Elephas maximus indicus: one gene and its partners. Each later gene encodes a partner of the first gene's protein in a complex. Links are inferred from orthologs where the notes say so. Each region holds a gene or a part of one and is shown in the gene's direction. Other genes may lie near its edges.

Region 1 (8,195 bases):
GGGTCAGCTTTAGGGTTCAACAGGTTTTCCCACACGTCTCGGACCCAAACATAGCGCGGCCCTAGCCGTATGGCTGGAGGGTAGGCTCTGGATTCGCTTCTCCATGGCCTCCCCACCCCGGCCCCAGGGAAGGTGACCGGGTGTGGCCGCGCCATCCTAGCCCCAGGTTAGGGACGGACTGCGCCGGCCTAGCCACCCCTGAGCGCGCCATGTGCTTTCCATACCTTCCCGGTTCGGCTCAGTCCGCGCGCCCCAGCCCGCCCTCAGCCCTGAAGGAGGGTGCCCGGCTTCTGGGCCGGCCCCAGCTGGGGACCGCGCGTCCTGGAGGAGTTTAATGGCGACGCCAGGGGCAGGGTCCGCTCCCTCAGGTGAGGGGGAGGGGATTCCCGCCCCTGAGAGGCAGCGCAGATGGGGGAGGGGCGCCAGGGGTTTCGGTGCCTTTGTCGGTGCCTGGGGAGGGGGAGGGGTGTTTAAGCCCTCCGGAGCCGCCAAAGGACCCAACCTACTCGGCGGCTGCGGCGCAGCCCCAAACCCAGGGTCTCACCGCAAGGAGCGCAGCCCGGGTTGTCCACACGCACTTCACTCATGCTGCCACGAACCCTGCACCCAGGCCCCTCGGTGCGTCTTCTTCCCGGTACCCCCCCAACTTACCCTCGGCACACCTGCAGAGAACTACAGAATGGTTCGTAGGAGGTGGCAGAATGTTCGATGGGGCGGAGGCGAGAGGGGTCTTAAGGCGGTCGTGACGTCACTTGCCCCTCGCCCCCGGGGAGGGGCAGAGAGCCCGGCCCAAACCGCGCCCGACGCGCGAATCCCACCCTAGTCAGAAGGCGGCACTCGAGACCGGGCACAGCACGCAGTCCAGCTGGTGACTTGCGGCCCGCGGTGGGTGAGGGCGCGAGACCTGGAGCCAAACGGAGCTGGCCTCTCGACTCCGCCACTTCCTACCGCTGTGACCTCGGCAATTCACACCTAACCTTCCCAAACCTCAGTTTTCTACTTTGCAAAATGGAAAAAACAAGCCTGCATTTTAATATGCTACTGCTTCCTAAGGTGCGGTTAAGCGGCACGCGGTAAACTCTCAATGAATGTTAGGGATTATTTTTGTTCTGTTGTTATTGTTAAGCCTCTGGGGCCCTTAAGAAAGTTGCCACCATCTCTGCGATGAGAGCTGTTTCGTGTCTCTCTGATGGCCGTCCCCCTCTGGACTTGGTACCGAGAGGGCAGGCCCGCCTCTGCGACCCTGCAGGGTCCTGGGCGCAGAGCTAGTGTTTGTTGAACGAATGACAGACCTTAGCCAGTTTGCAAGGCGGGGCGCTGGGAGACTGGCTGGGCGCTGTGAGGAGCGGGGCGGGGTGGGAGGAGGCTCCGCCCCGGAAGGCGGGGGCGAGGCGAGGACGCGCTGCCTCCAGCAGCAGGCTGGCAGAGGGAGCAGACGGCGGCGGTTTGTGGACGCGCGCACCATGGCTCTTGGCCCGCTGCGTCCGCTGCTGCGGCTTCTCGTGCTGGGACTCTGGCTGGCGCTGTTGTGCGCTGCGGCTGGGGAGCGGACGCCAGGTACGCGGGCGCGGGGCCGGTACCCGGCTTGGAAATGTGGGGGCCGCGTGGCTGGGAGGACCCAGGGCTGGGGGCAGGGGTGCCGAGTCTGGGGGCTTGGGAAATGTGGGCCGAATCTAGGGGAACGAAGCAGGCATGAGAGTCCGGGGCCAGGTGGTCTCCAGGCACCGCATTCCCTGGCTAGGGGAGATCCCATCCAGCTCTAAGCTTCATCCTCAGTCCGGGCCTCAGTTTTCCCTCCTGCCTACGTCGGGGGCTTCTTCCTGAAAGTCGGGGCTCGAAGAGGGGGCAGAAAAAAGTTTGTGGGCGGGATGTCTCATCTGCTAACGGGTCACGCCCCCAGCCTGCACAGTATGGGGTCTGCTCATCCCCAGTGACCCGAGATTGGAGATGCCGAGAGACACGGGCGTCTTTGCCCCCTATGCCATGTGGGGTGCCCCCTTCCGTCCGTCCGGTGACTTAAGTGCCCAGCTATGCGGGGGGAGGGGCCGGGGTCGGGCCTGGTGCCCGGGAGTGAGTCACCCGCCAGCGACGGGTGGGGGCTAGGTTGTGGAGGACCTGATCCCTCCCCCCTAGAGACTGGCGCTTCTCTCCCACATCCCACTGCCGTGTCCCAGACGGGCCGTGCGGTCACCTGTGAGGAATGCGGGGGAGGGCGCTGGTGACTCAAGTCATTCGAGCCGGCCGACCCTGACCTCAGCCCCCAGAATAGCCGCGCCCCGCCCCAGCATCTGACCCGAGGCCCCCTCCCCAGGTGCTGCCCCCTGCCCCCGCGGCACCTCCTGGAGCTCGGACCTCGACAAGTGCATGGACTGTGCGTCGTGCCCCGTGCGGCCACGCAGCGACTTCTGCCTGGGCTGTGAGTGGGGGTGGGGTCGGACCCGGTGGACCCTGGACCCGGAGAGAGGGATGCTGGGGTGGAGAGGGGACTGTAGGCTTTCCATCTGGAGCAGAATCCGGAAGAGGGAGAGTGGGGAAGGGGCTCTGATCAGAGCTGTGAATGGAAGGGGAATGCATGAGGCTCAGATCTGGGGGGTGAGGTCTCACTTCACATCCTGTCCCCAGGTGCTACAGCCCCTCCAGCCCCCTTCCCGCTGCTCTGGCCCATCCTGGGGGGTGCCCTGAGCCTGGCCCTTGTGGTAGGGCTGCTTTCTGGCTTCCTGGTCTGGAGAAGATGCCGCAGGAGAGAAAAGTTTACCAGTAAGTGTGCCCCAGCCTGCCCGCCTCTGTCACTGTTCAGTTTCTCCTTCTCACTGTGACCCCTCTTGTCTTGCAGCCCCCATCGAGGAGACTGGCGGGGAGGGCTGCCCAGGTGTGGCACTGATCCAGTGACAGTGAGCGCCCCCTGCCAGCCTGTGCTCCCACGCATTCATTCATTCATTCTGGAGCCACCCCTTGCCTCCCAGACTCAGCCTGTGCCAGGCTCAGCCAGCCACCCGGAGGGGTGATGGTGGTGAATCATCTCTGAGGCCTGAGGTTTTGGGGAGCCTTCCAAGGTATCTCTCATTGCCTGGTCTCAGGCTCCAGGACAGAAAGGAGCCCCATCCAGCTCACACACTATCGACCACTGACACTGAGGAACTGCAGCATTTGCACAAGGGGGTCTCTACCCCCCATGCCCTGGGGGGCCAGGCCGACCTGAAGGGCAGACACAACACTAGGCCCCACCCATTCAGATGTGCTGAAACGCTGACAGGGGTCTCAGCCTGGGGGGTTAGGGACCTGCTCTGAACACTAGGGGCTGGCCCTCTAGGGGGGCCGGCTCTACCACACTGCCTCTACTAGCCCCCAAAGTGGGGAGATATTTATTTTGGGGAAAAAGTTTGAGAGGGAGGGAGAATTTATTAATAAAAGAGTTTTTAACTTTAAATGGCTTGGAGAGTGGCAGGGTCCCAGCTCGACTTCCCTGGCTGGAGGGAGGGAGTGAGTCAGGCAGCCGCGGGGGTGGGGGCGAGGCTCTGACTCACACATTCTCAATGCCTGAGCCCAGCCTGCCAGGGCCTGGCTAAGCCCAGACTGTTTTCCAGGGAATATCTTGAGGGAGAAGCCACGCATCCGGCACCCCAGCTCTCCCTAGGCCCCAAGTGAAGCCTTCACTTGTTCAGCAGTCTTTATTCAGTGCTCCTCAGTAGCATGCCTTCTTCCCCAAGCTCCTGCCCCTCCTGCCCTCCCACTCAGGGCTCTGTCCTCAGTGTCCTCCTTGGTGGGGGGGAAGGTCCTGATGCCCAGAGGCCTGGTCTGGTGGAGGAGGAGAAGCAGGGAAGCTTGGTGCTGGTCTCCCCTATGTGTGGAGAAAGGCAGGTGGGCAGGACATTACCCACCAGTACTCAGAGCTCCATTATGTCCCCAGCTGTGGTAACAGAGTAGTGGGGGATGGAGTGTCCCCCAGCCTCAGCAGCTGGAGGGCTTCAGGGATCAGGTTCCCAGAGTAGCACCACAGATGGAGCTCAGAGCAAGGGCTCCTGGAAGAGGAAATGACAGGGCAGGGCTCGGCTGGCCTGGCAGAGCCACCCCCCACTAGATCCAGGTCACCACCCTCCAAGGAGTCAAGATGGGAAACAACCCAGAAGCTAAAAATAGCAGGATGAGGCAGGGCCTGGAGGCTGGGCTGAAGACCAGTGTGATCCTCCAGGGGGCTGGCAGGTGGAAGGTGCCCACCTGAGTGGGGGTAGGACTGGAGGTAAGGCCCTGAGAGGGCTGCAGTAGGGGTGGTGGTTGTGCAGTCTGAGTTGAGAGAAGTGGGTGGCCATGTTCTCCTCGGACAAGAACTGCTTGTGCAAAGTCTCCCTGGGGAAAGAAGGGAAGGCAGGTTGGCTGGGATATGGAGAGGGGAGGCAGCCTGATGGGGGTCAGAGGTGGGCAAGGTCTAGTTGGGAGTCCCTCCTTGCCTCCAAACTCACTGCACCTCCTCCAGGCGCCGCTTGGTGCTCATGGGCACAGCTTGGAGAGGGAAGCTGAGAAGAGACAAGAGCCAGGTGCATCCCACCCTCCTGGCCCCATGCCAAGAGGATCTGCCCGCCTGAGCCTGCAGCCTCAGCCAGCAGCCCCCATCCCTGTCTTAGCTGACCCCCTAAGTCACGTCTCCTCTCCTGGGCCATCCAGCAGCCCTGAGCCCCCAGCCCCATTCCAGTCTCAGTTCACGCCCAAGCTCCACCAGCTCACCCGCCATGTGTCATACTGCAGACCAGCCCTGAGCCCCCTGGCTAGGCCCACCCCGGGGGCCTCACACGCACCTCGCGTCCAGGCTCCAGGTCGCCCCTGAGGCAGCACTGGGGTCGCGCTGGGTCCGACCCCGGGGGCCACGCTCTAGGGGCTGCGGCAGGATCTTTGGGGCTACCCGTCCTTCGAGCAAAGGGGAGGGATCCGCCCGACAGGGGCGGTGCCTTGGGGGGGCGTGGCACGGCGGGAGGCGTGGCCTTGGCGCGCGCAGCAGTGAGCATTCACGCAGGCGCGGAAGACGGGCGGCACGCGGCTGGAAGGCGGGTCTGTTCAGCGGGGTGGGGGAGGGGATCAGGCGTAGCAGGGCTACAGGGGGCGCCACGTAGTGCCGCGGCCTTCAAGGTGCTCATCTCGGTTCGTGGGGCTTGGGGCGGAACGCGGAAACCACCTTCGCGCCGGACCGGCGGCAGTATTGGGACGTGGGGCGCCGCAGACGAGTTGGTCGCGGGCACGTCCGGACTCGTGAAGCCGCGTCTCACGAAGCATTCTGGGACTTGTAGTCCTCGAGATGGAGCGAGTAGTGCCACAAGCGGTTCCTCTGGGTCAGGTGAGGCAGGCACGGGACGCAGGGCATTCTGGGGTTTGTATTCCAGGCCCGGGTCGACCGGGCGGGCGAAGAATCATGTCCCGAGCCCTGTTGCGCGTGGGTTGCTAGTGGAAATCGGACTCAGACCGGGAGCCAGAGGAGTACCCCAGAAGTGAACACGTTTTTAAGTATTGGGGACAAGAGAACCACTTCTTAAGCGCTTTTTACATGGCAGACCCTTTGCGATGCTGTTTATATACATTAGCGCATCTAATTGAGACACAAACTCCAGTGAGTTCACTTGATACTTGAGGAAACTGAGTAGAGAAGCTAGGGAGCTGGCTCGAGGTCCCATTAGGTAGCACACCTGAGCTCTCCCTTTCCTCATCCTCTTCTTGGCGCCTCCCAGGGTTGTATGGGCAGGCGCCTGCGGGGTGGGCTGCCTTGAAGGAGGGCTGAGAAGTCTGGACAGTGGGGGGCTGGGCTGTAGCAGGGCTAGAGGTCTGCAGGTTCTTATCCCACCTCTCCTCCCAGATGGAGGTGTTTCAGGCCCTGCAGCGGCTGCACATGACTGTCTTCTCCCAGAGTGTGTCCCCCTGTGGGAAGTTCCTTGCGGCAGGCAACAATTACGGGCAGATTGCCATCTTCAGGTACCCATGGCCCCTGTTCCCCTGCACCCACTAGTCCTGGCACTCGGCCTTCCTGGGACTGATGCTCCCGGCTTCTGGCTCTTGGGCCCCCTCCCCTTTCCCTTCTCAACTTCAGCTTGTCCGCTGCTTTGAGCTCCGAGGCTAAAGAGGAAAGTAAGAAGCCTGTGGTGACCTTCCAAGGTGGGTGCAGCTGTCAGGTCTGGCTTTGGGGATCCCAGGGTGGAGGAAGGGGCCAGATGGGGTCGCTCAGGTTCTTTCCCTTTAGCCCATGATGGGCCCGTCTACAGCATGGTGTCCACCGATCGACAGCTAGTCAGTGCCGGGGATGGGGAGGTAAAGGCCTGGCTGTGGGCAGAGATCCTCAAGAAGGTAAGGAGTGTAGACCTGGGGAACAGGCTGGGTGCCCAGGCCCAAGGAGAGCCTTAGAGGTCACTTGGCGTTTTCTACCATGAAGGGCAGCAAGGAGCTGTGGCGTTGTCAGCCACCATACAGGTGAGCCAGGGCCACGTGGGGGGAGGCACTTGGGTATGTAGGCACCCTTGAACCAAAGCGGACCTTGCTTTTCCTCCCCCAGGACCAGCCTGGAAGTGCCTGAAATCAATTCTTTGCTGCTCGTCCCCAAGGTCTGAGGCCCCCTAAGTCCTTTGTGATTGGGGGCTCCGCCCTGCTGTGTTCTTGGCCCAAACTTTGGTCCTTCCACCTGTCCCCGTCCTGATTTGTCATTGATTTCCAGTCCTGCCCTGCCTTTCTTTGCAGGAGAATTCTCTTATCCTGGCTGGGGGAGACTGTCAGCTACACACTATGGACCTTGAGACTGGGGCCTTCACGGTGAGCAGGGCCTGAGAGCCAGGGGCAGGTCACGTGGGGGCGGGGTGCTTTCTGGACCTGCTCCTGACACAGCCCCTCTCCCCGCAGCGGGCCCTCCGGGGCCATACGGACTACATCCACTGCCTGGCGCTGCGGGAGCGGAGCCCCGAGGTGCTTTCGGGTGGTGAGGATGGGGCCGTGCGGCTTTGGGGTAAGGGGCTGGCTGGTTGGAGGGAGAGATGGTGGTGGGGAGGATGGGACAAGGATGGCACCCCTCAAGGTTCTCTCCACAGACCTCCGCACAGCCAAGGAGGTACAGACAATCGAGGTCTATAAGCACGAGGTGAGGCCATGCCCCAGCCCCATCCTCCTTGCTCTTCCCCAGCTTCTCTGTATCCGCAACTCTCTTCTTCCTCCCTCTAGGAGTGCTCCAGGCCCCACAACGGGCGCTGGATCGGATGCTTGGCAACCGACTCAGACTGGATGGTGAGCTGGCCAGAGGGTGGGGTGGGATGGGTGGCAGCTCTGGGCCCTGCTTTCAGGGGTTCATGGCTCACAGCGGCCGGGGACCCCTGCCTTTCTGGCCAGGTCTGTGGAGGGGGCCCAGCACTCACCCTTTGGCACCTGCGGTCCTCTACACCCACCACCATCTTCCCCATGCGGGCGCCACAGAAGCACGTCACCTTCTACCAGGACCTGGTAGGCTCTCTGTCTCCTTCTGCCGCCCTTGCTGGCTCCCGTCTCCAGCCCTGACCCTTGAGCCCTCTCTTGCCCTCTACAGATTCTATCTGCCGGCCAGGGCCCCTGTGTCAACCAATGGCAGCTGAGCGGGGAGCTCAAGGCCCAGGTACCAGGCTCTTCCCCGGGGCTGCTCAGCCTCAGCCTCAACCAGCAGCCAGCGGCTCCTGAGTGCAAGGTGGGTCCAGTGAAGGGATGGGATACTGGGACGCTGGGGTTGGGCAGGGCCCTCATGCCCCTCTTGTCTCCAGGTCCTGACAGCTGCAGGCAACAGCTGCCGGGTGGATGTCTTCACCAATCTGGGCTACCGTGCATTCTCCCTGTCCTTCTGACCCACCAACACACCCTTCACCCCAGGAGTTTGGAGTGCTTTTTTTCCCTTTCTTTTTAACAAATAAAGTTTCCAACGTTTCTTCCATGTGCTTCCTTCCCAAGAATGGAGGCCAAGCTGGTGTTGTGATTTATATATTACTCTGTCTGATCTTGATACATAAATACACATTGTCATCCTGGCCTGGAGAGTGCCCAGTGCTTAGAAAAGATAGACCTATAGACTCCTAAAATAGGCAGCTCTGCCCCACCACCCACCTCTTACCCCTGGCCCCAAAAGCTGGCCCCTGCTCACTGTGAGCCCCTGCCTGGGTTTCGGGATGGGGAGGGCACCAGCCCCCCTTGGAACACAATCTGGAGCCTATGGC
Region 2 (7,248 bases), on another chromosome or scaffold:
TGACAACCATTTCTCATGTCTGGAGTTCAGGTGACGCACACAAGGATTCCATTGAAGAGCTGGGATGTCATCTGATCAGGGCCCATTGTCCAGCCCCCCAGGCCTGGGGAAGGATGGGGACACCTGATCTGAGACATCTGAGCTGCCCCCTGAGACTGTGAAGGGGCTGATTGTCCTCCCAGGGCCAAGGGAAAGAGGCCCCCCTGGCTTGACAGGCTCCTCACCCCAGCCCTCTCCTCAATAGGCCCCTCCATTCTCCTCTCCCAGCCCCTTGAACTCAAAGGACCGCTCACCTTTAGCCCTTTATCTCCTCCAACACACACCATCCCCCATTCCCCCTGCTCCCACTGTCCCCACAGTGAGCAGGCTGGGCCTGGGGAGAGGGGTGATGAAAAGCAGCAGGGACAACAAGGCCCTACAGGTCTCCTTGCCCCTTTATGGAAGCCCTGGCTCTAGGGATAAAGGGTTAAGGCTCCCTTCCCACCACTCACCTGATGAAGGGGCTGATTCTACAGTGAAGTGAGAGGAGCCAAACTAGAGGTAATGGGAGGCATACCCCAGGGAAGCCAAAATGACATATTCAGGAGATAATGGAGTTGAGGCACCAAAAGGGTTCCCTAGGTTGCTGACAGGAAGCTCAGGGGCGGTGAGATCCTCCCCCAAGAAGTCTTGGGCCACTCACTCTGGCTGCTACCCCTCCATTCAGGCTCACTGAGGGCACCAGACTAACTCCTTGCTAGGGTTGGGGAGTGGAGTCAAGGTTGTGGAGAGGACCCCAGCCCACCACCTCCTACAAAAGAACTTGGCTGTGCTGCGCAGGCAATGCCCAGGATAAAAATAGAGCCTGGCCACATCCTGTGACCATTCCTGCCTGCCCCACCCTCCTCAGTCTCTGCCCAGGCAGCCAGGACCCACTGCAGCAGTCCTCTGCAGGACTTCAGAGCCAACCCAGCTCCATCTGCTCTATCTCCATGCCCAAACCCTGACTCCATCTGGTCTGGATTTAGGTCTGTTTGGGTTTTCCCCACATTGTAAAATCTCAAGGAAAGATAAATAGGTGTGGGGATCTGATCTCGTGGCTATTCTGGCCTCGGACCAGGCCTGAGGCCAGAACTCCCCTCACCCCAGCCCCAGACACCCTAGGCTTGGTCCCCAGCTCACTTCCATCTTGGGGGGTAGGTGAGCTGCCGAAATGGGCTCTGAGCTGGAGACTGCAATGGAGACCCTCATCAACGTGTTCCACGCCCACTCGGGCAAGGAGGGGGACAAGTACAAGCTGAGCAAGAAGGAGCTGAAAGAGCTGCTGCAGACTGAGCTCTCCGGCTTCCTGGACGTGAGCAAAGAGTGGGGGTACAGGGTGGAGTGGGCAAGGAGTGGGCACCTTTCTGCCATCTACTCATCCTACTCCCAGGTCAGCCCAACCATCTCTCTGCTCTCCCAGGCTCCTCTCCTGCGTTTTTCCAGGCTCCCCTGCTTTTCCTGGTTCAAGTCCAAATGCCCTGGTTTACTGAGCACCTGCTAAGTGCTAGGCCCTGTGTAGATCCATCAGCAACAAAGCTCACAGCCTAGAAGGGAAAGACTGACACTTGAAAGTTAACCATGAACTACGGGAAATATACGGAGCCTTAACAGGGGTCCCAAAAAGGTTTGTGGCAGAATATTAACCTGATTAGAGTGAGCCAGCTTCTCCAGACAGGTGACACTTGAGCCATGGATTTCCACTGGTAGATAAGTGGGGTAAATGTAGACAGCAGGTAACAGCATGAACAAAAGCATGGGAGACAGAAGAAGAATAGGGAACCTGCTCAGTAGTTTGACTGGAGTGCAACATACAGATAATTAGGCCGCAGATGCTAACAGGGGTCAGTAGTAAAGAAGAAGCCACAGGCACAGTAGAAAGTGCACAGGCTTTGAGGTTTGATTAGATCTAGGTTCAAATTCTAACCCCACCACTTTCTAGCTTTGTGACTTTGGGCACATTACTTAACCACTGACTGACAATTTTTTTCTTCTAAAATAGGAATAATGAAACTTACCTCATATTATTTTTCTTAAGATTTAAATCAGATAATGCGTGTAAACTCCTAGTGTATTGCTTGGCTCATTGTAGGCACTCAACGTTTGGTAATTTCTGCTAATACTATTTCTCTGCCATGTTAAGGAGCTTATTCTCTAGGCAACCAGTTCATAAATGTTTGTTACTTTTGAGGAGGGGAGCAGAGGAGCTCCATTGGATGTAGCTCTCCCTCTTGCTCACCTCTGTCTCCTTCTCCCCAATCAACTATTCCCTTAACACTGACTCAGTGCTAGGCCCCTATACTCCTTGTACACCTGCCCCTTCCTTTCCTCCCTTGGCAGGCCCAGAAGGATGCCGACGCTGTGGACAAGGTGATGAAGGAGCTAGATGAGAATGGAGACGGGGAGGTGGACTTCCAGGAGTATGTGGTGCTGGTGGCTGCCCTCACTGTGGCCTGTAACAACTTCTTCTGGGAGAGCAGCTGAGCAGGCAGCCCCAGTGAGCAGCGCCCTTCCCCTCTACAGTGCCGGACCTGCCCATTCACCCCACTTTCCCCTCACCCCACTTTTCCCTCCCCACATTCCCCATTCCCCATCAAGGGCGCAAGAGTAGCAGGTCAGGCCTGCAACTCCTCTCTCATTAAAGGCTTCTCTCTCGCCAGCCATCTGCTGTCTGTCTCCTCTGGGGTCCAGAAGTGGGTGGAGAAGTAAAGACTGCTCACTCAGGACTAGCCTTATTTGGGGAGGAGCCTTACTTGGGGAAGGGTCTTATTCGGAAAGAGGTCACTTGCATTACATCCTCCTACTTGAGGAATGCTCAAGGCCCAGCAATGTGGGGTTTTAGGGTTCCAGCTGTTAAGTGGAAGAGACATCAGCTTCTTGGCTATAAAGCCAGAAAAAGAATCTCCATTCAACATTAACCAGTATTTACTAAGGACCTACCAATGTGCTTAAGGAGGTGGCACAGCTACGGTTGCTAACCAAAAGGTCGGCAGTTCGAATCTGATTGGAAACCCTATGGGGCAATTCTACTCTGTCCTATAGGGTCCCTATGGTCGTGGTTTTTTTTAGGGAGTCCCTGGGTGGCATAAAGGTTAAAGCGCTTGACTACCAACTGAAAGGATAAAGATTAGAGTCCACTCAGAGGTGCCTCAAAAGAAAGTCCTGCTGATCTGCTTCTGAAAAATCAGCCATTGAAAACCTGTGGAGCACAGTTCTACTCTGACACACATGGGGTCGCCATGAGTCAGAAGGACTCAAGGCAACTGGTAACTGGTACCATGTGCCAGACATTGTGTAGGAACTTAGGATACAGCAGTGAACAAAACAAACACCATCCTTACTCTCACATGGCTAAAGTCCAGCAAGGATACCGGGCCATTAAAACACATACACACAAGTGCTAGGAAGAGAAATAAAAGAATCTGATGCATAAGTAAGGTGGAGGAAGGGTTGAAGATGTGTTCATTCACTCATGTCTCAAATATCTGAGCACTCTGTTGTGTATCCAGACATAAAAAAAGTCCCTTTATAGAACTGTGTCAAAATTCACATGGCTGGCAGGTGGAGAGGGAGGACATGAAAGGGTGAGCAGGGACGCAAAGATCTCCCCAAATAAGGACTAAGCAATATTCGGGCCAAATTGGGGACGGAAAGAAGTGGAGAGGTTAATACGGACGGGAAGCGGTGAATGGCGCAGGAACCGGGAAAGTGTTCTCAACTCCCAAAATAGGGAGAATGGGGTTGAGCGGACAGCCCGGCTCCGTGATCTGCAAGAGGTGGAGTAAAATTCCGCGGAAAGATTTTTAGACGGTCAGACTTAGACGGTCTATCTTAGGAGGGAAGGAGTAAACAAGGGGATACGAAAACATTTTTCTTCGAGACTGAATCCGTCTCAGTGGCCCTGACTACGAAGGACTCCAGGGGTCTACAGCTCCTAAACCGAGGCGCCTCCAACGTGAAGGCCCCGTCAAGCCTCAACACTAGGGCCATTGGCCACGCCCCTCCGCGGTCGGAGCGCTTGGTGTAACACAAACAGGGCCTTTTACTAAAGCTCCGCCTCCTCCCTGCGGCTCCGCCCCTCAGCCTCGTGCCCAAGTAGCAAAAGTCTTTCCCGCCCCCTAGTTGTGCGTGGATCTGACGCCTGACGTAATAGCGTCGACGCCATTTTAGCCGGCCCCACTCCGCACGGGGCGTGGTGGCCATTTTGTTTTGGACGTCGAGCGGGACACGGCGGCGTCGGCGGCGGCAGCGGCAGCGGCAGCGGCAGCTGTGGTGGCATAGACGAAAAGAAGGAAAAGGCAGGCTGGGTGAGCAGGCGGACTGGCCAAACAGCCCGCAAACAACAACGAGCTAGCCTAGCAGTCTATCGATTACGCATCTAACCAACCGCCCACCAAGTTACCCCGAGCCCCCCACCGTCAACTCAGGTTCGGCCGGTCCCCGGCCCGCTTGCCGCAGCCGTGGTGGCAGCCCCGGGAGGAGCACTGGCGTCCGTTTCTTTTGGTGCGTTTCTGCAGTGAGGAGGGGGAGAGTCTTGGGGAACGGAAGGAGCTGGCGGTCGCGAAGTGGGGGGTGGTGGCATGTGGAAGCCGACCGGGTGTTGGAGTGAGGACGCCCCCGAGAGGGGGCGGAGCCCGGGAGGAGGAGGTGGGGAGAGGCTCAACTGGAAACTGGTGGCGGGATTGATGGGGGATAACAGGGAAAAAAGGAGAATTGTTTGGCGAGTTGAGCAAAGCTGGCTGTCTTCCCCAGGTTTTGAGATGGTAGAGAGGCTAAGTGAGGGCTGTGGGACTTTGGCTTGAAAATTAACGGTGGCTTTAGCGTTACATTCTGTAGAGAGCTCTCTGGGAGCTAGCTCTCAGGTGAATGCCTATTTAGGAAGCCTTTTCTACTCCATCGTCAAGCTCCCCAATCCCTTGCTAAGGCCACTACTCGATTTTAACGTCGAAAGCCAGTTTTGAAGCCAAGTATGCCTGTTTTTTCTCCAGATCAATGCTTCTCAACTTTAGACGCGCATTAGAGGCACCTGGCTAACATTCCTCCCCCCATTGCTGATCCCCAGCCCCACCCCCACCGATTGTGGTTAATTGGTCTGTGCCTAGGTTTCTATAGTTTTAAAAGCTCCCTGGGTAAGTCATATGTTGCCATACACTACCAGTTGAGAACTGATCTAGATTAAAAGCCAAGCTGTTAACACCCCTTTTTGCCATCTTTGGTTCTGCTACCATTTTTGAGACTTTGGCTGATATTTTATGTTCTGTGGGCTTCAAATTTTAATAGTTTGAAGTAATTACCTTAAAAACTTAAGCAACTGAAATGTGTTTTCATGTGATCTTCAATAGTCAGTGGTGAAGGTCTTTCCATTTGTTGTTGGTTCGGGCCTTGGCCCTTGTAGAAAGAGGTCGTTGTTATTCCAATTTGCTCATTTTGTCCATTATCCTTTGTAGATTCTCGGGATTTGAAGATGGCTGCACAGTCAGCTCCGAAAGTTGTGCTAAAAAGCACCACCAAGATGTCTCTAAATGAGCGGTGAGGCAGCCAACAGCAACTTCAGCTCGTTCATAAGAAAACATTACTTAAATTGGCCCTGGGATCCAATGCACAAAAACGGTTTTAAAATAACTAAATACCAACAGAAGGCTACAGACTTCTGTTCTTAGTTGCATCTTAATATGGTACACACATTGGGCGGTTGTTTCAAAACCCCTTTTTCAGTAGATTTTTATGTTAAGCTGTCTGAAACATTTATCTGGTGGGATGTATTTTAAAAAGACTCCTCACACCCTCCCTCTCTTCACATTTTTTTTTTACGTTGATACAGGGGTGGTGCAGCACGGTAGCATGGTACCCTGGCTGCAGAAGGCTTGCTGCCCAGTCCAAGGCCAGCAGTGTTGCGTCTGGCCTGTAAGAGGCAGGTAGCAAGCCATGAATCTGTCCAAAGGCCCTTGAATATCATTCTTGGGCCTTGTAAGAGGCACTTGCTTTGCTCCATTTCACTTTCTTCCCATTCTGCTTTTAGTTTGTTTTTGTTTTGGATTCTTTTACAGTTGTGTTCTTCTCTTTCGTGCCATTCATCTTACCTTAACAGAAATAATAGAGTGTCTTCCCAAGCTCTGAAATGATTGAACTAATTTAACTTTCTCATAAGTAATTATTTGGAGTCAGGGAAAGTGTCCATTTGAGGTTAAGAAAAGTTTAGGTATTTAAAGTAGCTTTTGTCTCTGAGAGCTCTGTTCATTGAGGGCCTTTGGCCAAAAAATTTATTAAGTTGATGTTAGACTGCTAGGAGATTTGTCTGTCTGTTTTTGTCTTTTTGAAGCATATGTGCTGCTTCTCTAGCCCCTTTGGTATGATATACTTACTAGCTGTCCATATTAGCAAGCTACTGAGTAAACAAAACATAAGAAAATGTGATGCAGTCCTGTAATATATATGGATGTACTATTTCCGTAGTCCCTGGGTGGTGCAAACAATTAAGGCACTTGGCTGCTAATAGGTTGGTGGTTTGAGGCCGCCGCCCCCCTGAGGTGCCTCAGAAGAAAGGGCTGGCAGTCTGCTTCCCAAAAAGCAGCCATTGAAACCACCGTGGACTACAGTTCGACTCTGACATACATGGAGTCCCCATAAGTCAAAATTGACTCAGCAACTGGTAGTAGTTCCATGGGCTTTGAAGGTGCTCTAGTCACTCCTTGTATTTGCCCTTGGAATGCACTCTGAGGTTCCCCAAGGTTTTGGTTATCTTTGTTTGTCTTTGAAACTACATCTTCTGTCTCTTGTTATCATATCTGCTTATTGCGTGTTTTTCATACCTTCCATTTCTCTAAAAGCTGTTACCTGAGCCCTTGTTATCACTTTTGATTGAATGTGCTGCACTTAGCTACATTTCTAAGTTTCTGATTCTTGCAAGTTTGTGGAAACAGAGGAGTCTTTAACCCACATCAGCCTTGATCTAAAGTGTACCACTTTACTTAAAGTTCGTGGGATCTGGAGCTCCTGGTCTAGCAAGCCATGAAAATGCCAATAAATGTTTTGTAATAAAGCTTTTATTTAAACATCCATTTTGTTCGACCTTGAAGCTTTACTAATATGCTGAAGAACAAACAGCCGATGCCAGTGAATATTCGGGCTTCGATGCAGCAACAACAGCAGCTAGCCAGTGCCAGAAACAGAAGACTGGCCCAGCAGATGGAGAATAGACCCTCTGTCCAGGCAGCATTAAAACTTAAGCAG
Region 3 (7,788 bases), on another chromosome or scaffold:
TGCTTTACCAGTTTCTCCTGGGGGCGCTTACGTAATATACCACTTGCACACAAATCCTCATCTCAGGGTCTAATTGTGTAGAACCCAACCCAAGACAGGGCCTATGCATATAACAAAGGTCAGCCTTCTCTAAAACAGCCCCCACCCAAACAAGGGCCTAAGAATAAGGCCTATACCAACAATCTCTGCAATACACACATGGCAAAAGCCCATATTCAGTGTCTGTCCATATCTATAACACTTTTCAGCATCCCACTAAATAGTACCTGCCATGATCAGGGCCCACACAAATTGTAATAGTTAATATTTATTGAGCTTTTACTATGTGCTGGGGACTGTTGTAAGCATGTATTACCACCTGTCATCTGATTTTATCCTCACAATAGTCCCATGAAATTGGTGCCATTAAGGGGAGCATATGATTTCCCACTCCCGATGTATCCTTCTCGGTGGGGGCGGGGCCCTGCTCCACAGACTAATACTACTTGCCTCTCTCCCTTCACTCTCTGCCTCCTTAATTTCTCCACTGTTCCTCCAACTCCCCTCTTTAGGAGCTGTGACTTACGTGATGGGTCCCTTTGGAAGAAGAAACTGGTCATGTGTAGCCTGGCCCCCTACCTTTCTACTTCATCATGGGAAGAGAACAGATGTTCTGCTCAGTTCTATTAATGCTGTCAGTTTTTATAAGGGTAACCTATGCCCCTGTGGGGTCAGGGGGAGGCTTGCCCTGGTTCAGTGCTGCATGTGACTGAGTGGGTCAGTCTGATTTTGGAGTTTAAGTATTAGAAGGCTGTACTAAGTAAGGTGCAAAGTGGGCAAATCCCATCCTTGTTGCCAGTTGTACTAAGTAAGGGGCAAATCCCACCTTCATTGCCAGTTGAGTGTTAAGAATCAGCATGAAACCAATCCCCAAAATGTGGAGACTGATATAGTCTACACCTTCCTACTTCTCCATCCTCATCACCAGCCTTCCAAGTGGTACTCTCTCTCTCCAACCCTACCCACCCAGAGCTGGGTCAGAGCTCACAAGTTAGATGGACACCATCCTTTAGACTGCCAAATAGGCAGACGCCAGCCTCTGCTGGCTTTCACTGCCCCTTTGGGTTGATAATATTCTGGAATGACTCACAGAATATTGCAGAAAGTATACCATACTTATGACTACACATTTATTACAACCAAAAATGATACAAATGAAGAGGCACGTAGGGTGAGGTCTGGGAGGGGTCCCAGCATGGAGCTTCCACACCCCAAAGGGACACACTACCCTCCTGAGAGCAGATGTTCTTACCAACCAGGAAGTCCACTTGAGCCTTAGGGCTCAGGGCTTTTATCAGTCTCACCATGTGGTCATGATACATTACGCCTCTAGAGGTTAGTCAACATCAGGCCGCCAGGTGGTCCTTCTTGCTCTGGTTAGCCCCCACTCATTAGTCTCAGTTGTCCTCCAGCTCTCAGGAACTGAGAACAAAGGTGAAATTGCCTTATGCACCTCATAGAGGCCCAATCGATTACAGATTTAACCGTATTCTACTAGCTGCCTCCCCCTTTCTTCTTTTTTTAAAATTTGATTTAGAAATTTGGGCAAGAAAGAAAAGTGTAAGTCATTGGGCTCCCTTCAATCCTATTCGATAAGGGAAGAAACAGAAGCATAGAGAAGTTGATTAACTTTCCCAAAGTCACATAGCTAAGTGGAAGAACTTGGGTTCAAGCTCAGGCACAATAGAGGTAAGATTGTCAGCTCTGGAGCCAGACTGCTTGGGTTTGAAGTGGGAGAGAAGAGGAAAATTAAATGGTAGGGAGAGAAACAACGAAAAGCTTAGAGGAGATAGTGAGAATCCTTATAATCTGGGCCCTGTTCAAACCTAGCAGACAGATAGTGTTAACATGTCCCAGTTTTCAAACTATGGCCATATCTGCCCTGTGACTCTGACAAACCTCTCCCTCACAGGCATCTGGACCACTACCTCTTCCCACACTGCCTCTTCTGTGAGATTCCAATTCCAACCTGAAGACCTAACTATACTACCTGACACAGATGATTGAAGGACCTTTTTCTCACCAGACGAGCAGTTCAGTCAAGGTAGAGCCAAGTTGATTGGTTTGGCATAAACAGCCTTAGCATAAAATGCAGAAGCTATTAGGTACCTTATTCCAAGGAACTTAAGTCGGGATCTTGGAAAACCTTTTGTATTCATTCTTTTATTATTTTACTTATTTTGCCTTGGTTTATTTTTATGTGCCTATTTCTTGGTTCCATTATCTATTCTCACTGAGATGGTAAGTGAAATGATTGCTTGACCTTACCATCACCCAAAACCAATCTATGACTACATGCATCAGACTATCAACATTGATACTAACCAGTCCCTAGCCATCACCACAGATCTCAGTCCCTGCCTAGCAGATTGCTACCTTTGAGCCAGTTAGGTCACCAGGGAACAGTACTCCCAGGTGCCAAGACAATACCAGACACTGATAGCAAAGAACAGGTAAGCCAACAACAAGGATGTAAAAGATACAGTAGCTTCGCAATCTTATTGAGCAAGAAGCCAATTAGCCCTGAGGAATTCCTAAAGGAATTGTCATAGCATGTAAAAATAGTTTTGTGGCCTCTGGGAGAAAGGAAAACCAAGGTCTGTGTACTTCAAAAGCCTCAAAGGGCACCACTGCACTTAGCTCATACCACATTTACGGCATACTGCATAGTATTCATACTGTACAGTTCAGTACTTGTAAGAAGAAATCACTGCGACATAGTGGCAAAGTAAGCCACAATACAGCAGAATACTGTAGATCAGTGGTTCTCAACAGGGGACCTTTTGCCCTCCAGGAGACATTTGGCAATGTCTGGAGACATTGTTGGTTGTATCAACTAGTGTGTGTATGGGGGTGCTACTGACAACTAGTAGGTTGAGGACAGGGATGTGGCTAACATTGAAGGCAACTGACAACAACATGGAAACCCTGGTGTCATAGTGGTTAAGAGCTATGGCTGCTAATCAAAAGATCAGCAGTCCGAATCTACCAAGTGCTCCTTGGAAGCTCTATGGGGCAGTTCTACTCTGTCCTATAGTGTCACAAGGAGTCGGAATCGACTCCATGGCAACGGGTTTGGTTTTTTTTTTTTTTTAACAACGTGGTGCCCTGGTGGCACAGTGGTTAAGAGCTCGGCTGCTAACCAAAAGGTCTGCAGTTTGAATCCACCGGGTGCTCTCCTTGGAAAGCCTACGGGGCAGTTCTACTCTGCTGAAATCCACTCAGTTGGCAGCAGGTTGTATTTTTGGAACAACAGCATATATATATCTACATGAAATATTTCATTTTGAAACAAATGTTGACATAACATGAAATGTTGTTTTGAAACAAACATTAACTTTTATTTTGAATTAACATTTTAAAACTTTTTATTTTAAAAGTTGCTAAAATAGTACAGAGGATTCCATATGCCCTTTGATTCTTCAAACGTGAACATTTTACCACAGTTGCTTTACTTGCTATGAGTTATTTTTCTGAAACATTTTGCAGTAAGTTGCAAAACAACGCCGCACTATTTCGAAACATCTCAGGGAGAATTTTCTTACAGCAAAGACTTTCTCTTACATAACTACTGTACATGTATTAAAATCGGAAATTAACATTGATACGATACTATTACCTAGTCTACAGCTATTCTAATTTGGTCAGTTAAAAATAGTGCTTTTTCCGTCCAGGACTAGTGGTCCTACCTCTTTTCTATTAATCTGGACGAGTTCCTCAATCTTTCTTTGTCTTTCATGACTTTGATAATTTTGAAGAGTGGATACAAATTATTTTGTAGACCGTTCCTAAATTTGAGTTTGTCCGATGTTTCCTCAGGATCAGATTTAGGTTATGCAAAGTTTTGGCACTAATACTGCAAAATCGATCAGCGTTTTTCTTAGTGCCTCATCAGGAGGCGCTTGATGTCCATTTGTCTCATTTCTGGGGCTGCTTACTTTCCTCAGTTAGGACGGCGTCCACCATGTTTTTCCATTGTAAAGCTTCTATTTCACGCTTTGAAATAGTAACTATCTTTTGGGAATATACTTTGAGACTACGTAAATATTCAGTTTCTCATCTTACTTGCGCTCCCTAGTTCTGCGTAAGGTTACAATAGTGATAGACAGAGTAGGGTTTCAGAATACGTAGCTCCTTGTGTTTCCCAGGGCCGATTTCTGGATCCCTCCCTTGCATTAGCATAATGCCTGGCGCGCAGTGAATGCCCGCCCCCTACCCGACTAGTTTCTTTTTATCTCAGCCCTGAGCAGAGTGTATTGTAATTTATGTCTGTCTCTCACACAAACTATGAACTCGTCGAGGGCAGGCATCGTGGCCTACTGTTTCTCAATACCAAAGTATAGCACGCATACAATACATGCTAGACACTGGAGATACAAGCAGATAAATTACAGTCGAATTTGAACAGTCGCCTGTAGATACTATGGAACCTAAGAGTTACAAGTCAGACTGGGGACGGCACGTTTCCTGTTCTAAAGAGAAGCGAGGGTGGCGGAGGGCACGTGTGATACAGTTACTTTGCGAAGGGGCCCACGGCTCGCGCGCGGCCTCACCGTTGACCGGCGGGCCTCTCACTCACGCGGAGTTAGGAGGAAGGTGGGGCGGGAAATCGAAAACCGAACTCTCAGCTCCCGGCATTCCTCGTAGGCGGTGCTCCCCTTTGACCCCTCGCTCGCGTGCTACACATCCGGGCTTTTGCTACTAGTGAGGGGAAGATGGCGGCCGCAACTGTGGTGGTTCCCGCAGAGTGGATAAAGAACTGGGAGAAATCAGGGAGAGGCGAATTGTGAGTGTCCAGGCCGGAGGCAGGCGCCCGTCTAGGCCGGGCCCGGGCGGCGGCCGCCCTCTCTTGTGTGGCGGGAGGTTGGGGAGAAAGATGCGCCCCCTCCCCCATCAGGGCGGCGGGCGTGGACGGTTGTCTGGGAGTTTCGAACTCAGGGAGAAGAGGTGCTCGTAACCGCCGCCGACCTCCTTCCTTCCCTGGCCTCCGTAAAGTCCCTGCTTCCTGCGGTAGCCCCGGCTTCCTTTAGCCTCTTCGTAGAACTCCGTTTCGCCCCCGCGGGTCCCTGCGCTCCTGCTCGGTCTCTTTTTGTCCCCTTCTTCGCTTGAGCTCACTTGGCTCCTTTCTCTTTACGGGGCCGCCGGGGGGGGGTTCGGACTCTCCACCTCTCTCTGTCCCATTTCTTCACTTTGCACCCGTTCGACTCCGCAGTTGGGAGCCCGGAACCTCCTCTGCCCGAAGTCCGAGGAGGGCGAACCGTCCCGGACTCCCTCCCCTCCTCTCCGCCCGCCGCCGCGAAGCCCCGGGCATCGCGAAGAGCCCCGCTTGGCACCTCTCGTCCTCCCGGGGAGCGATCTCTCGGATTGTCCCGGCCTCGCGCGGCGCCGCGGCCGTGGGGAAGTGTGGCAGGGATTGCCTCTTTCCTCGAAGACCTACCGGCATTTCTTTGCTCGTCTTTTCACCTTAGAGCCTTTTCGGGTTGGATTCAACTGTCGTCATTAAATGTTTCCTAAACCCCATTTTGTCCTGGGACTTCAACTAATTTTGGCAACTTTCCAAGCTTCTCGAGTACCTAGGATAACGCGTTTCCTTTAGCCATAAAACTTAATTTTTCCCCCAGTAACACCGAAAACAGTTATTTGCCGTTCTCGCGGTTTCCTCGCCCAAATTTTCAGCTCGCTCGCTCTTTCCCTCCCCCCACCTTGTGAAAAAAATACCGTTTAAGCAGCAAAAGAAACCACAGGTTTAAAAACAACTTAGTTCTAATTTCCTTCACTGAATTGCTTTAGAAGCTAAAGCTGAACCCTCTATGAGCTGAATGCTTGCTAGCCCTTTTTGTCGTCGTTGCCCCCATCCTCCCTTCCAGTAGCTTGTTTAAGGTTGCTGGTGTGAAAAGATAAGAATCTTTGGAACTTCATTTCTCGGAAGGAAATGCGGGGAACGCGTTGCTGGATCTTACGGGTGTAATATTGCCCGCCCCAATGGCCCACCGCCCCTCCTACGCGCACGGCCACGAAGTCTTAACAGTGGAGCCCTAGAGTTGGATTGCCTGAGTAAGCGGCCGTTTTAGCCTCTTAACTGGCTGAGTGACCTTGGTTAAGTTCCTTAACCACTTTGACTGTTTTCCCTTGAATAAACTGGGAATAATAGTACTCTATTCAGAAGAGCATTGTGAAGACTAAAGGATAATCCTCGTAAAGCGCTTGGCATATAGTAAGTGCCATAGTGATAGCTATTAATAGTAATATTTCAACCTATAGATGTTTCAACTTAGCGGGACAGCCCTTGCGCTTAAAGTCTGTAGCACTCAGTTCGCAGTTAATTGGTCTTTGACTTTTTATGTGTATTTATTTCTGTTCTCCAACGAATTGAGAGGCCCTTGAAGAGTAGGGACTGTGTCTCATATTTCTTTTGATTCTGCCCCTTCCCTCCTGCCAGCCCTTCTGGCACGTGCTTGGAGTGCTTATTGGTTTATTAACGGTAAAAAAAAAAAAATCCGTTGCCGTCGAGTCCATTCCGACTCATAGCGACCCTATAGGACGGAGTAGAACTGCCCCATAACGTTTCCAAGGAGTGCCTAGTGGATTCGAACTGCTGACCTTTCGGTTAGCAGCTGTAGCCCTTAATCACTGTGCCACCAGGGTTTCCTATTAACGGATAGAGAAGTCTATTTGATAAACATTCATTTTGAACTGTCATGAACATTGTCCAGATTCTTACACAGCCAGTCAACAATTATCTGTTAAGTCCCCTGTGTGCATGCAGGGAAGACTGGATGATCATCATCTGTATTAGATTAGGATAACCCAAAAGATTGATAAATCACTTCCTTGTTTTGTTAGGAGCCCTGGGGCACAGTGGTTAAAGCGCTTGGCTGCTAACTGAAAGGTCAGCGGTTCCAACTCACTAGCCACTCCAAGGGAGAAAGGTGAGGCAGTCTGCTTCTGTAAAGATTACAACCTTGGAAACCCCATGGGGCAGTTCTGCTCTTTCCTATAGGGTCTGTGAGTAGGAATCGACTTGCTGGCAGTGGGTTTGGTTTTCTGTCTGTTTTGTTTACTTTTAAAGCCAACTTATTTATTCAGGGGTTGTCATCTTTGGAGATTGCTCAACTTTCTCCTTCCTGCTGTTTTTGACAGTTTTACTATTATTGCTCCCACCTTAGAATGAGTGGTATGGGCTAGGAAGTAAAATCAAGAGCCTTCTGTTTGGCTTCTAACTGGCAGTGGTTGGGGAAAAACAAAATGATGTTGGGAGTTAAAATACCTAGCCAGAATGGAATTTTGAATTCATTTTATGTATATTTACACGCTCCATGATATCTGTCATAGCTCCTGAGTTTGAAGAGCTGCTTCAGAATTGTTACGAGGACTTACATGTATATAGTTATTGCATGGCTTGTGGAATGTGGTTTGAATTATACTAGATCCAAATCAGTATAGTCAGTTTTGTAATTGAATTCTGTTATATAAAGTGTCTGAAGTTAACTGTGTAACATAATGGAATATTTTAAATAGTCAATCATTTCACCACTTGATACTTAGTTTTCATATATTTGATTCCTTTTCCCGCTATAAAAACTTTGTTGCATATAGCCTAATTTGGGACTTCTTGTCATCTTACTAAAGATAGATGTTAGCAATTTCATTAGACAGAACAAATTATGTTGTAAATATATTACAAAAAAATCTTTCCTTTGTCTGAAAACAGCCTCTTTTAAGTGTAAAACAGCAAATGAAAATGTTAAA

What was found. Proteins that work in one complex are often made in the same cells at the same time.
Region 2: THOC6 (region 1) and CHTOP share a complex: the UniProt entries of both Homo sapiens proteins name them as parts of the transcription/export (TREX) complex. The link is inferred for Elephas maximus indicus from reciprocal best matches to the Homo sapiens genes THOC6 and CHTOP.
Region 3: THOC6 (region 1) and THOC2 share a complex: the UniProt entries of both Homo sapiens proteins name them as parts of the transcription/export (TREX) complex. The link is inferred for Elephas maximus indicus from reciprocal best matches to the Homo sapiens genes THOC6 and THOC2.

The regions. Positions count from the first base shown.
Region 1 is NC_064830.1:60,084,751-60,092,945, forward strand, and holds THOC6 (THO complex subunit 6 homolog), read left to right. Parts: upstream 1-5,081; 5' UTR 5,082-5,284; coding exon 5,285-5,323; intron 5,324-5,836; coding exon 5,837-5,952; intron 5,953-6,067; coding exon 6,068-6,132; intron 6,133-6,217; coding exon 6,218-6,321; intron 6,322-6,406; coding exon 6,407-6,444; intron 6,445-6,526; coding exon 6,527-6,575; intron 6,576-6,708; coding exon 6,709-6,780; intron 6,781-6,867; coding exon 6,868-6,970; intron 6,971-7,052; coding exon 7,053-7,102; intron 7,103-7,182; coding exon 7,183-7,245; intron 7,246-7,347; coding exon 7,348-7,458; intron 7,459-7,540; coding exon 7,541-7,675; intron 7,676-7,748; coding exon 7,749-7,829; 3' UTR 7,830-7,909; downstream 7,910-8,195. Other genes in the region: TNFRSF12A (tumor necrosis factor receptor superfamily member 12A), read left to right, coding at 1,464-1,557, 2,312-2,416, 2,623-2,816. UniProt on the Homo sapiens protein: Component of the THO subcomplex of the TREX complex which is thought to couple mRNA transcription, processing and nuclear export, and which specifically associates with spliced mRNA and not with unspliced pre-mRNA.
Region 2 is NC_064821.1:191,476,893-191,484,140, forward strand, and holds the start of CHTOP (chromatin target of PRMT1 protein), read left to right. Parts: upstream 1-4,199; 5' UTR 4,200-4,521; intron 4,522-5,465; 5' UTR 5,466-5,482; coding exon 5,483-5,547; intron 5,548-7,094; coding exon 7,095-7,248. Other genes in the region: S100A1 (protein S100-A1), read left to right, coding at 1,193-1,333, 2,359-2,502. UniProt on the Homo sapiens protein: Plays an important role in the ligand-dependent activation of estrogen receptor target genes. May play a role in the silencing of fetal globin genes.
Region 3 is NC_064846.1:32,891,458-32,899,245, forward strand, and holds the start of THOC2 (THO complex subunit 2), read left to right. Parts: upstream 1-4,739; 5' UTR 4,740-4,754; coding exon 4,755-4,825; intron 4,826-7,788. UniProt on the Homo sapiens protein: Component of the THO subcomplex of the TREX complex which is thought to couple mRNA transcription, processing and nuclear export, and which specifically associates with spliced mRNA and not with unspliced pre-mRNA.